Notamacropus eugenii: one gene and its partner. Each later gene encodes a partner of the first gene's protein in a complex. Links are inferred from orthologs where the notes say so. Each region holds a gene or a part of one and is shown in the gene's direction. Other genes may lie near its edges.

The links. Proteins that work in one complex are often made in the same cells at the same time.
Region 2: SMARCD1 (region 1) and ACTL6B share a complex: the UniProt entries of both Homo sapiens proteins name them as parts of the BAF complex. The link is inferred for Notamacropus eugenii from reciprocal best matches to the Homo sapiens genes SMARCD1 and ACTL6B.

What each region holds. Positions count from the first base shown.
Region 1 is NC_092874.1:222,199,478-222,206,534, forward strand, and holds the start of SMARCD1 (SWI/SNF-related matrix-associated actin-dependent regulator of chromatin subfamily D member 1), read left to right. Parts: upstream 1-4,040; 5' UTR 4,041-4,091; coding exon 4,092-4,268; intron 4,269-4,380; exon of another isoform or gene 4,381-4,406; coding exon of another isoform or gene 4,407-4,529; intron 4,530-5,217; coding exon 5,218-5,405; intron 5,406-5,677; coding exon 5,678-5,720; intron 5,721-5,830; coding exon 5,831-5,953; intron 5,954-6,392; coding exon 6,393-6,515; intron 6,516-7,057. Other genes in the region: ASIC1 (acid-sensing ion channel 1), read left to right, coding at 430-534. UniProt on the Homo sapiens protein: Involved in transcriptional activation and repression of select genes by chromatin remodeling (alteration of DNA-nucleosome topology).
Region 2 is NC_092873.1:80,136,374-80,143,451, forward strand, and holds the start of ACTL6B (actin-like protein 6B), read left to right. Parts: upstream 1-4,073; 5' UTR 4,074-4,182; coding exon 4,183-4,207; intron 4,208-4,849; coding exon 4,850-4,926; intron 4,927-5,234; coding exon 5,235-5,400; intron 5,401-6,052; coding exon 6,053-6,153; intron 6,154-6,666; coding exon 6,667-6,764; intron 6,765-7,078. UniProt on the Homo sapiens protein: Involved in transcriptional activation and repression of select genes by chromatin remodeling (alteration of DNA-nucleosome topology).

The sequences.
Region 1 (7,057 bases):
TCAAAGACCTTATACCTACCTTGAAGGTCAAAAGACCTCAAAGACCTGGGTTTGTAGAATTAAACAGAAGGGGCAGATACCAGGAAGATCATCTCAGGGACTACTGTAATAATCTAGGAATAAGGCAGTATTAATTAATCATTCTAGAAATTATTAATCTAGGAACAATCTAGGAATAACAGTTATGACAGGGATAGTGGCAATAGAAATATATGTTAGAGCAAAAAAAAACATTTTGAAAAAAGGATCAATAAGATTCAGTCATTTGAGTGGATATTGAAGGTGAAGGACAGGGAAGTAAAAAAAATTACTCCTAGTCTTCCTTTGCCATGATTCTTCATCAACCAAAGTCCAATATATTTTTCACCCTGACTCCCTTTGTTTGCTTTTCTAGTGATTCTTTCCCTGCTCTTTCTCCCCCCTCCCCAGAACCCCTGTGAGAGCCTCCGGGGCCATCCTGCTGGGATGACATATGCCGCCAACATCCTACCTCACCATCCGACCCGAGGCACCTTTGAGGACTTTACCTGCTGAGCCCTGCCAGCCGTCATACCAAAGGCCTGGGAGGGAAGAGGAGGGCAAGGAAAACCTGGGAGATCAAGCTGCTCACCTGCCCTGGGGCTTATCACTGCCCCTCCCACTTCAAGGGCAGCTCCCAACTCCCTTCAAAGTCCTTCCCTCCTAGAACTGGTGGAAGGGGGTTCTGAGTCCAGTGCCCTTCTCTACTCCCTTGCCCTCCATGTCCATACATTTTTATTTTTAACAAAACAAATAACAACAGAAATAAACTACAAAGAGAAAGGGCAAGGGACCCCAGGCTGTCCCTCTATGCCCTGTGCTGCCTCCCCCTGCTCCTAGCCTGACCTATGTCTGTTTGAACATCCATTCTCATCCTGCTTTCACCATTCACTGAAGCTCTTCCAGCAGGGACGACATGAGTGGAAAGACTCCATAGGGGTCTTGAACTGGGCCCCAGACACAGAATGTACCTTAGGAGGGAGGGCTAATGGGGGAGGAGGGCTTCCCTAGCCTTAAGAGACCCTTTCAGTAGTGTCCCTACCCTCCAGTTTTAAATCACAAGGGCAGGAACTGAGGCCCCTGGCCCTCTCTCCCTTACACTTATTGGGTGCCCTTCAGAGGTCAAGGAATAGATGGTGTTCCCTGAGGGACTTGGGACAGGATGAGGCACAGGTTTCATGCCAACATTGGTCCTGGTCCTACCCCAAAATCAGAGAAATTTTTGAATGGGATCCCTCACCCTCATTCCATGAAAAAAGATGTAGACACTTGATTCCCAACTCAGGGAGAGGGGAACTGGCACCTATTTCTCTCCTAACTCCCAGTTCCTCCCTCCAAGGGTCCCTTGCATGGGGCCACATCCATAAATTTTCTTATGGAACTTCCCCAAGTCTTTGTCCTCTATTCCATCTGTTTCTTTCTATGACTTCATCTGCATTTTCTATTTCTATATGATACAGACTCTATATTGCTATAACTGTATATACTCCCTTCCTTACGCCTCTATCTGTCTGCCCTTCCCATCCCCATCCCCTGTGTCTCTAAGTCCCATCCCTACTTCCTCCCAAATCTCCTTCTGTCTCTCTTACCAACCTACTACCAATCCCTCTGAATGCCTTCACCTGTATAAAGTGTTGGACTCTCTCCTCCGGTGTCTGTACTGTGTACACACATCCCCCTGAGAAGCACAAGGAGACGACGTACGCATTGTAACTCTCTCACTGTCTTGGACATAAAGGAAGCTGTGAATCATAAGCTCTGCCTCTTTCTGGCCTGCCCCCCAACCTACCTATGCTTTGAGCACTCTCTGCCCTCCCTGTAGCCTTAAGGCCTCTTCCTTCCTTTCCATCAGTCCCATTATCCCCCTTCTGACTAGGACTTTCCTCCTGGGGGAAGGGGTGGACACAGAGAATTGGCACTTAGCTCAGAGGATAGATATTCCCTCTTGGCCCCAAATCAGGGTGAATTATAGATGATGGAATCCCTGGAGCATGGAGATAAGGTGTCAGGGACAGCGTAAGGGTGGGAAACAACCCATAGTTTCTAAAGGTAGCCACTGAAAAATATATAGGTGGCTAGAAGATAGTGTCTAAGGCCCTCATCCCCAAGGCTATGTCGGCTAGGGTCAAATTCTCCCCATTACTGACTACCCATCCTCTCTTACCTGGGGTCCAAGCCTGTACCTCCATTGCTCAGATTTTAGGGACAAGGCTGGACTTCATAATGAGATAGGACTAGAGGAAGCGTTGGGAGCTCATGCTGTTACACTATCTCCCCATCCTCCCCCTGAGAAATAAGATGAAAATAGAGGTTTGCACCTTCCAATTCATCTTTCTCTATCTCAGATGGTCCAGAAATATCCCTTCCATCCTAAGGCCCTCTTGCTTAGAGCTCCCTGGGGGAAGGCCCCAGCCAACATAGCCTCTGATGATGAGGATGAGGCCACTGACATAATTCTAGGAGATACTTGTTCTCCCCTCTCCATCCCTGTGCTGGGGGAGTGGTAGGGATTTCGGAGGAAGACATTGCTGGGAGTCTATAAATACCTGGTTCCTGGTTGTCACTTGGACAGAGAGCAGACCTCCCTGTAGAGAAACAGGAGGAAGTATGCTCTAAGCAGCTGCGGTGACAGCCAGCAGGATGGTGGGTGAGACACTCCTCTGGTCTAATAAACTGGGTTTCAACCATCTCCCCTCACAGTGTTGTTTTTAATTGTTCATTCGCTGGTTCAACAAGTATGTGTGGAACACCACTTGGCACTGGGTTCAAGGCTTAGAACCCTGCTGGACTTGGCACCAGAGTGCCAGGGGCGGACAAGAACCCCGAGAGGGCCTGGATGGTCATTTTTAGACCAAAGATCTTTATTCTTTTGAGCTAGGACTGCCTAACAGAGGACCAACAGTGGGCTTGAGTTTCAGGCGGGGGAAAGAGGGGGTACAAGGAGAGTCCCCATGGCAATGGGCAAGGTAGTTCGGGTCTAAGGTACGCAGTAGTATCTACGTGAACTTTTATACGCTTTACAAAAGAAAGCTTTACGAATTCTCTCCCTGGAGCGTCACAGTACCTGTAATACCCTAAGTCGCGAGTGCCCACCTCCCCATTTTACAGGAAATTGAGGTCCATCTGCCCAGGGTCATACAGCTCATTAGTCTGAGGTCCGACTACGTCATGCCTAGGACCAGTAAAACTTGGGGGTAGGGCAGATCCAAAGGTGAGGAGGGTGACTCCACCCCGACACTCCCGTTTCCTAGCCGGGTGCCCGCGGGCACATCACGGACGCGCTCCGGGAGGTTCCCAAAGCGCCCGGGCGGCCTCGGCCAAGTAGACCCCCGGGGCCCGGAGCCGGGCAGACCCTGCTTCAGATCCTGTCCCAGCCGGGCGCCCCGGGGCGAGTTCACTTCGCCTGCCTGCCTCAGGGTCCTCCTCTGTACAACGGGGGTAAATAATAGCCCCCACCTCCTCGGGATCGTTGCGAGGATAAACAAACCCACGGCGCCTGCAAAGCTCCTTTCGAACCATGGAGCGCGGTACCGAGCCGAGCCAGCCGAGTTACGGAGCCTGCTTCCGTGTGTGCCGTACGGGCGATCGAGAGCCTCCCCCGCCGCCTTGGCAGGAAGAAATGAGACAACCCGAGGGCAGCAAAGCGCTTCTTAAGCAGCGAGCGCAGCTACACCCGGCGCTGCCCGGGCCCGGCCCCGCCGGCCGGCCCAGCCTGGCCGGGGTAGCTGGTGCCAGGTGCGCGCCGCGCTCGGGACCGGAGACTCGGCGCCTGGCCGCCCTCCGGCCGGCAGGGGGCGCGGCTCAGGGGCGCTCTCCCCCGCAGCTCCTTCTCGCTGGTTTCTCCGCCTAGGGCCAGCGGGCCAGGAGGAGGGGACCGCCCGCCTCGCCTTTTCCACCACTCCCTTCTAGCCCGCAGTCTCGTTGCCCGAAGCCACCCCTTCCCTATCCCGGGCAAGCTCCGGAGGTCTGGGGGTGGGAGGGGGGGTAGCTGAGGGGGAAGGGAGAGTGGCCGAGAGAGGGGGGAGTTCCGGTTCCGGTTCTTTGTGCGGCGGCGGCAGCGGCTCCGGGGGAAGATGGCGGCCCGGGCTGGTTTCCAGTCAGTGGCTCCGAGCGGCGGCGCCGGAGCTGCGTCAGGGGCGGGCGCGGCGGCCGCCCTGGGCCCGGGTGGGACCCCGGGGCCCCCGGTGCGAATGGGCCCGGCGCCCGGCCAGGGGCTCTACCGCTCTCCGATGCCCGGAGCAGCCTATCCGGTGAGTGGGGGCGGGGAAGAGGGGGGCAGGAGGAGGGGCGCGCGGGAGGGGGGCGGGCCCTGCGGGTGAGTGGCAGAAGGGGCTGGGCCGGGGGTGCCCGGAGGCGGCCGGAACCGGGGAGAAGGGGAGGGCGAGAGGATGGAGATGGAGCTGGCCGTGGCCCGGCGGCTTGGGGAGAGGAGCGAGCTGCAGAGCCAGGCGCCTCCGGTCCGGCCGCATCCCTCCCGGTGTGCGCTTAGGGAGGCCGGACCGCGGGAGCAGGTTCGGCGGAGGTCCTGGGTTCAAATGCGGCCGCCGCTTGACGTCCGCGTGCTCTGGGGCCAGTTCACCCAGCCCTTGTGGCCTCGGCTTCCAGGTCCCTAAAGTAAAGGCGCCCCTTCGTCCTAGGGTTAATGTCCTACGTACAGCTTGCAGCTTCTGCATTCAGATTTGGGAGATGGGCCAAGGTGACCTCCCAGGTCCGGTCCAACTCTGGTTCTGGCTCTGTTTCTTTGGAAGGGTACGGAGTTAGGTTATAGAGGAGAGGCTGAAGAGGGAGTTCTGATCTACGGAAGATTAAGAACTCCACGGTGTCCTGATAACCATTGAAGGCATAGTTGTCAAAGAGATAGCGACTAGAAAAGAAGAACCCCAAAGGAACAGGAGGCTTAAGGGAAAGAGGAAATCCCAGAACAGCAAGGAAGCGTGTTTATGCATTAGAGGAGATGGGGCGGGCTAGATGACATTTTACCTTGGTCTCGTCCTTTGGTCCTTTCTTCTACTTTGGGCTGGTCCGCCTTCTCAGGAGCCAGGATCCTGGGTAAAGGAAGCTCCAGTTAGCCCACATTCATACAAGGTTCTAGGGTTCTCCCATTTTCCCCATACCTTTCCCTGAGGTAACACAATATTCTTTCTAACATCCCACAGCTCGGGACAGCTATAACATCTCTGTGTTGTGTCTCACCTACAGCGTCCAGGCATGTTGCCAGGGAGCCGTATGACACCTCAGGGACCTTCTATGGGACCTCCTGGCTATGGGGGGAATCCTTCAGTTCGACCTGGTCTGGCCCAGTCAGGAATAGATCAGTCCCGAAAGAGACCAGCTCCTCAACAGATCCAACAGGTCCAGCAGCAGGCGGTCCAGAATCGAAATCACAAGTAAGACACTTCTGGGAAGGGTAAAAGCAATTCTATGGAGACATAGCAGCTGAAACTGGGGAGTGTGTCTATAAACCTATGTGACTCATGAAACTACCTTATCTGAGTTTACCATGGGTTGGGGGGATTTTTCTCTGGTCTGAAAGAAACTTTTCAGTCCCTGGGCACCCCTTTTCCTCTTTCTCATGCATTCATATGAGGATGCCGCCCTCCCCATTTTCAGATTCTGGTCAGTTCCATCCCAGCCTAATACCAATGTTTATTCTGAACAGTGCAAAGAAAAAGAAGATGGCTGACAAAATTCTACCTCAAAGGGTGAGTCTAGCACGCCTTCCCCATGTCCTGAGTCTCCCCTAGGGCCCCTATAGTACCCGTGAGTTTGAAAGCAAATTTTATATACCTGACTATATCTTGCTCCCCTTTAGATTCGTGAGCTGGTACCAGAATCCCAGGCCTACATGGACCTCTTGGCTTTTGAAAGGAAACTGGATCAAACCATTATGAGGAAACGGCTAGATATCCAGGAGGCCTTGAAACGACCCATCAAGGTACAGGAAACTCCTCGGCAGAGACCCAAGAAAGAGGGATTCAGGATCCATCAGCAGTCTAAGAAATTGAAAGTTCACTGTAGATCTCCCAGACGTATTTAAATTTCCCCTTTTCCCTAATAGCTAATTTTATTAGAAGTACCAGAATAGAAAAAGGAGAAGAGGGCCCACTGTTTCACCAGAAATCTTTGTACTTTTGATGTCACTGTTGTAATTGAGTCCTCTACCCAGGAACCCAGTTGGCACTGTGAATATCCTCGTTTGTCTTGCATCCTTATTTATGCACTGTGGGCTGGTTGCCCATTCATTTCTCCTAGTTGGAATCTCTACCCTCCCCAAGGGACTGGGCAGACAGCAATTTGTTCTGGTAGAATTAAATGGTTAGGGCACAGTATTGTTTCCAAAGCTCTATACTAATCTTTGTTTCTACCCCCTCCAGCAAAAACGGAAACTTCGTATTTTCATTTCGAATACTTTCAATCCAGCTAAATCAGATGCTGAAGATGGGGAAGGAACTGTGGCTTCCTGGGAGCTTCGAGTGGAAGGAAGGCTCCTTGAGGATGTGAGTGTGATGTTCACACTGGTAGGGACTGGGGGTGGGGGCATCTAGAGAAGAGCAATGTCTTTCTGGTCTGGAGGGACCCTGAACGGTGCTCACAACTCCTTTCCAGAGCAGCAGGGAGAGGGACGTTCGGCTCCTTGCGTTGGAAGACAATGGCTCTTTGTGTGCAGCTCCCACAGCTTTGGCCTTCACTGCCATATCGTGTTGAGAACACTATTGTCCTGTGATCTGATTTGCTGTTCACTTCCCCCCTCGGCTCGTTCTGGCCATTAATGGTTTCCCAGGTTTCTGCTGATTACCTTGGTTTGGGCTTATTTATCAAGTGAGTTTGCAGGTTTTTCCCCCATATGGCATTTCAAGCCATGACTTCCTGTCTGAATCCTTAAGATCCTTAATTCCCATTGTGTGATCTCCCTTCTCTCTGCTGTTGCTGAGAACAAATCATGATTTAGAACAGGCAGATTTCTCTGACATGCTATTCATTATTTCATGCTGAGTGTCAACGGGGGGGTTGTGAGCCCCTAGACCTCCCACCCCCACTT
Region 2 (7,078 bases), on another chromosome or scaffold:
ATATGTAACCTCCCCTCCCCCAAAAAAGGTGCCCAGTGCCTTCTTGTCCTAACTAGCCAGGTCCTCAGCAAATGGTTCCTAAATCCTTACCTGGTTCTAGAGGTACCACTGAGGGGTTGGAGAACACCTTTCCTTAATGCTGTTGGTACCAAGCCTCATTCTGGTGTGTTCTTATCATGATTATGTGGTAGTTTTCAGAGAGGGTATTCAGTAAGGTAGTACCATAAGGAGAGTTGGTACAAAGCATCCTCTTCCCCCACCCCCACCTCAGTCTGACAAACTGGTGGGAGACACCAGGGGTGAATTGGCCCAAGTTTAGCACATGTGGCAAAGTGGTAAGTTATGGCTCTTGATTGTTGGAAGATCTTTTTCCCTTTCATGTGGTGCTCAACAAGTTCTTCCATAGCAAAGTGAATATTTGTCCAGTTTTTGCTTGACTTGAATGATGACAGGGAGATGGGAAGGTCCAAATCCTCTTGATTCTCCATATTTTTTAAGGAGGAAGGAGAGACTTAGGCCAAAGTAAGATTGGAAACCTTTTGTAACTTTCCCCGCCCCAAGCAGTTTCTTCTTAGGAAGTGTTACTGAAAGTCACACTTGCTCCAATCTCTGGAATAGTGCCAGTTCTCAACGCAATTGATAATTTGTCTGAGGATAGTGTAAGGACTATCTGAACACTTAGTATTCAAGGACAGATGGGTTCCTCCTTTGAAACTTATTCTTACCTCATTAAGGCATCAGGGCATACCTTATTATAAGGTGAGGAGGCTTGATTGAGTAAATCCATGAACCTCAAATTTACATATATTTTTTGTATTTTTTTTTTTTTTTGGTACATGCTATTTTCTCCCAATAGAATGTAAACTCCTTGAGGTCCAGGAGATAGTTTCATTCTTTTGTTTTGGTATCACCAGCAATTCGTGGCACAAAATAGGCTAGGTATTTGAGAAATATTTATGTAATGAATATTGAATGAACAAATTCTGCCTAATTCCTCCTCATGGACAAGTCCTGCCAGTTTAAGTGAATACACAGCTACACATATAAAAATGCATGTACCAGGGCCTAGGAAACAAACTCAGGAAGCATTTATTAAGTGCCTTTTATGAGCAGTGTGGCATAGTGGAGAAAGAGCCAGCCTCAAAATCAGGAAGACCTGGGTTCAGTCCTGACTTCTCTTAACTGACTCTGGACCAGAAATATCAAACTTGGAGTTTGCCAGTCACATATGACCCTGCAATGCAGGACTGACCCCATGCCAAATTAAACTGTACTTGGGAAATATCAAAATAAATAAAAATACAATAGAACATAAATTATATTAATATGTAGTTTTCTAAGTCAGTATGCACCCTGCAAAGATCCTTATATATGATTTCTATTTTGAGTTTCACACCACTCTAGGCAACTCTCCAAGACTATAAATTGCAAAGAAGGTACCAACCTGCATTGACTGAAGAATCCCCTCACCCTGGAACTCTCTACAAATAAAATCATTGGTCCAGGCTCTATCCTTAGAATGTACCAGGCTCTGAGCTAGACACTATAAATAAATTTTAAAAAATTATTTAACATAAATTTGGCTAGCTAAAGAAATGTATACTAATAAAAAGAACAAAATAATCTCACTTCACACACAGCGTATATTTTAAAAGAGAAAACTGCCTAAAGTCAATAAGACATCACCTGGAAGGGACCTTAGAACATCCAATCTAATCCCATTCTCTCTTTCCTCCTTTTACCTTCTATCTCTTTAAAAAAAAATCCCCAAGAACCTATAATAAATTCGATATACCCATATAATTCTTTGCTGACAGCAGACTCATTCTAGAATCCCAGTCTCTTAGACGTAAATTAGTCAACCCTTATCCTGAACAGAAATTCCCTCTACAGTGTATTCAACAAATGGTCATTCAGTCTTTGTCTGATGAACTCTAGTGATTAGTAGCTCTAATTGTTAAAAAAAATTATTTTTTTCCTTTTTGAATAAACTTAAGAAACCCATTTTCCATGATTGTTGCTTATTTTTTATTTATTTTATCTCTCCTCCCTACCTAGGCTTAACATTGAGGTTGCTGGTTATTTTAACAGGGTACAAAACAGTAAAACAAAGATACAAATATTTAAACTGTCAGCTGTCAAAAAGTTCATATTCCAATTCGTCTTTGAGGATCTCTACAGCTGCATACTTCTCAGTTTTAGGATGATAATCCCAATTTGCAACTATCTCTAGATCCAGATTAGTTAGAAAGGTAGAAAACAAATACTAAATGCCAAGTATGTGCCAGGCGACTAGCACTAAGCTCTTTATAAATAGTATCTCATTTGATCCTCATGACAACCTTTCAAAAAAGAGTTATTTTCATTTGATAGGTGTGGAAACTGAGGCCAATAGAGGTTAAGTGATTTGCCCAGGGTCAGACAGCTAATAAATGCCTGAGGTTGCATTTGAACTCAGGTCTTGACTCCAAGCCCAGCGCCACTGCGCTACCTAGTGGCCAATTAAAATATTTTTTATTTTTTAGAAGGATTAAATTTAGCTCTCTCAAGAAATGTTTTCTTTTGTCATTTCTTCATTCAACACAGTTAACAGCTTCTCCAGAACAGTTAAACTCTTAAGTCTCCTACAGAACAGTTAAACTCTAAATCTCCTAAGACACTGCTTATTCAACTGTCACTCACAAGATTCCATTGCCTTTTAATCCAGTAACATTATTGGGGTTTCTACTGAAGGAGTTATTGAAGCTAGTGTCTCATTTATACTTAGATAAAATATACCTGTGCTTCTCTCTCTGTATTTCTGTGTCTGTCTTTTTCTTTTCTCCCTGCCTCCCCCTTCCTATTGCTCCCATAGAGTAGAAAAGAGAGGAGTGGACTTGCAGTTAGGAAAACCCAGGATGGAACTGCACACCTCACTCACCAACTTTATCACACTGTGCAAGTCACTGAACTTTCAGCATCTTCAAAATGAGATGGTTGGACTCAATGACTTTTAAGGTCACTTTTAGCTCTAGATCTTTAAAGTCCTTTGAGTCCAAGAATATGTCTAATCCCTATTCTACATGACAAATCTTCAAATATTTAAAGACATATTTCCCCTAAATCCCCTAAAATTTTCTTTCTATAGGTTTCTTATTGAAACACCACCTCCAGTGCTCCAGCATCCGCACCAAATTCAGTGTGCTTTGAGGAGTGGAGAGTGAGGAGCCAAATCAAGATTCTAAGATGAATCACTTGAGCTATCCACTTGATTTTCACTTTATAAATCATCTCCTGAGCCAAACAAGGAGAGATCTTCATAGTTTCGAAAAGGCTCAAAAAAGCCCAAACCAAAAAGAGGAACAGACCTGAATTCAGTTGCAGGAATTCTTGGCCTTGGAGTCTCTGAATTTTGTATGTATGCTCACACACATATACATATACATATAATACACACACACACATATATAGTATGTGTTTATGCTCACATCCATATACATATATATACACACACATATATATGCACACTATTTTAATAAAACTGGTTTCCTTTGTAATTCTATGTGTTTTATGCATTTAAAAACATCATTCTGAGACACACACAAAAGGTTGAGTCACCAAGTTAAAGGTTAAATACAGAGAAAGAGAAGATTCTTCCATCCTTCCACGCTGATTCCTCCCTTCTCTCCCTCTCTCTTTTCCTTCTCAGTTTCCGGGCGTTCTCTCTCACCCTGTGGCCTTCGTTTTCTCCTGAGCCTGTCTTAGGACCACGTTGGCTCGTTAGACTCCAGGCTCAGTCCTCCAGGAGACCTAGCCTAGGACAAAGACCACACACGCCACTCTCACCTCGGGGCCTAGATCTCAGGATAGAGGGGCTTTCCCACCTTCCTCTCCCTTTTTCATAGCCCACCCCCGCCTCGACCCTCTTATCCCCTCCCCCTCCCCTTCAGAAATTCCTGGAGGCACTTGGCCCTTTAAGACCGAGGCGCCGGCCTAGGTTATTGTCTGCGCTCCCCACCAATTGAAAGCGTGAGTGGGGGTGGGGGATCCGGTATTCTGATTGGCCGGTCCTTAAGCACCCTCTCCCCACCTCCTGGGTCCCTGGAGCTGTCCGGCTATCTCGGTGCTGATCCCGCTGCTGCAGCTTTGGGTCCTCGGCCTGGAACCACCGCAGGAACTGGAGCCGGAGTGGAAGCAGCCACCATGAGCGGAGGTGTCTACGGAGGAGGTGAGATAGCCCCGAGACCCCGGCCTTCAAGCCAGGTCATTTCACACCGCACCCCTAGCCTGGGGGGTCCAGTTCCTGCAGCCCCAGTCCTCCATTCCTGGTAGCTCCTAGCTGGTTTATACCTGCAGGGCAAATGTCCCATGGCCAGCATTCGTCAAGCGTTCCTCACCTTCCTTAAGGCCCTCAGCGCTCCTGCTGCTCCCTTATTAGCAGCTCACTGACAGGCTGTTATACTCTTCTCTCAGGCAGTCCCTCACCCCAACCCAGAACCTCAGATCTTGTGGATGCTAGGAGCTCCCACCTCCCCACCTCTGCATATATAATTGCCCCCTCCATGTCCAGCATTCCACAAATCTCCCTAACGTGTCTATGTTCCTACTGTTCCCTCAGATCCCATAAATGATCCCATGGCCAAAATGCCCATCTGAGTTTTGGCTTGTGGAGAAGACTCCTCCCTCCCCTCTGACCTCATGTCCACCTGGTCTCCCTTAGGTGGAGTTTATGGGAGGGGGGAGAGTCTCCACACCCCGACTTCATCTCTCTCTGGGTCTTCTGAGGTGGGGTTTGAGGGAGGGAAAGCCCCTCTGCTCTGACTTGCAATCTCCTCCCCCTCCTCCTCTCTCCCCTTGGACACACACACAGATGAAGTTGGAGCCCTGGTTTTTGACATAGGTTCCTTCTCAGTTCGAGCAGGGTATGCTGGGGAGGACTGCCCCAAGGTGAGCCTTCCAGCTCCCCTTCCCAACTTTCCTAAAGTCTACATCGGTCCTACTTCTCTCCCTCTTGGTTCCCAGAACCCACCCCCTTCCTTCATACATAAACACCCTGAAGGAGTTAAAAGAAGGCTCCTGATAGTTTGGGAAAGTGTTAATATGGGTTCAGTAGAATAGTGATGTGAGCCCTGGGAAGGGGATGGGTTTGGCAAGAACAAAGGCATGTGGTAATTGGGATGGGGTTGTTTGGGGATATAAAGTAATGTGGAGAAAAGAAAAGGTGACTGTAATCTGCTCTCCCTTCCTCCCCCTAGGCTGACTTCCCCACTACTGTAGGGTTGCTGACGCTGGAGGAGGGGGGTGGGCTAGAGCTGGATGGAGAGAAGGAGAAGAAGGGGAAAACATTCCACATCGACACCAATGCCCTGCATGTGCCACGGGATGGGGCTGAGGTCATGTCACCCCTCAAGAATGGCATGAGTAAGGGAAACCCCAATATCCATTCCTGGGAACACTACTGCTGCAGCCCTTGCCCCTGTCCCATTCATTATGACCACAGTATGCCCCTCACCAACCCCCACCCCAGACACAGCCAGTTGTTCCAAAACTGATCAGGACCTCCCCTCACCAGGTCCCAGGGCTACCCAGTTTCTCTTATGTCCTCTCTGCCTCCCCTCCCTCAGCTTCAACCATACTCACTTCCTAGGTCCCTAGAGTAGGGAAAGGGGTCTGACTTTTCTACTCAGGTCTACCCCCACCCCATTTTTCTCTTCCCTCCTGTCCTCACCTCTCCTGCCTACACGTGTTTGTCTCTTTCTTTTTCTCACACACCCTGACATATACTCCTGTCTTTATTTCTTTCTTCATTTCATTTACTGTCTTCCCCTGAAACATCTGTCTGCCTGTCTCTCACTCTTTCTCTCTGTATTTCTTTCTATATCTTTCTTTTTCTCTATCCTTTTCTCCCTTCTCTCTGAAACTTCTTCTGTGTTCCTCTTCCTGATTTTCCTCTCTTCACTATCATCCTGTCTCCCTCTTCTCTCTGTTTCCCTTCCCCACATATCTGTCTCTTCCTCTCTCACCACCCTTCCTCTCCCATCCCTCTGTCTCCTCCTCCCCTCCTGGTGCCCAGTTGAGGACTGGGAGTGTTTCCGGGCCATTCTGGATCACACTTACAGCAAACATGTCAAATCGGAGCCAAATCTGCACCCTGTACTCATGTCTGAGGCCCCGGTACGTACTCCCAGCTCTGGGTCCCCTTGCCTCTGGAGTTTGTCCTCTATCTTAACCAGCCTACCCTAGAATCCTTCATCAATCACCTTATTTCTACATTTGACCCCAGCCTTGGGATCTCAATTAGCCACCCCATCTCTCTCCCCCTCAAAATCTTCATCAAAACTGAACCCTATCTCCCCTTTCCTCCAATTATCATTTCTCTCCCTACCCTCTCCACAAGTGTTCCTCATTTTCACATTTATACACCCCTCTCCCATATCTCTCTGAATGGGGATAGTATTCATTCACTGGGGGTAGGGAGGAGGTTTGATAGTAAAGATCATTTTGCATTGTGTTAGTTGGCCTGGTCCCTAGCCTCTCTGCACTCTAAGTGTGAGTGTTTATGAACATGTTCATTTGGGTACATGCGTATGTGTGCATATTAGTACATAAGCCTGTGTGTGTGTGCTTGTTAGCTTATTTATATCCAACCTAAACCCCTCCTTATCCTCTCTCCCCTCCCTCCCATAGTGGAACACTCGAGCCAAAAGAGAAAAACTCACAGAGCTAATGTTCGAACAATACAACATACCTGCCTTCTTCCTGTGCAAGACAGCAGTGCTCACCGCGTATCCCCTGGGCTGGCCACAAAAAGGGGAGTCATGGGGGCACACTGGGAGCACCAAGTGAGGAAGGTAGTTGGTTGCTGAAGCAAGCTGAGTCTGGGCCTGATTCGGTAGAGTGAGTGCCCTCCAAGATTAGGGAACTAAACCCCTTCCCACAATAGAGGACTAAGTATTGGCATTTTCTCCTAACCCCTCCTGACTCCACTTGGAGGAACAGCTAGCTGAAAGGGCCTGAACAGCTAAGATGCCCAAGAACAGCAGACTAGCAGGACTAAGAGAAGTAGAAGTTCCCTTCTCACACTAATTCATCCCTACCC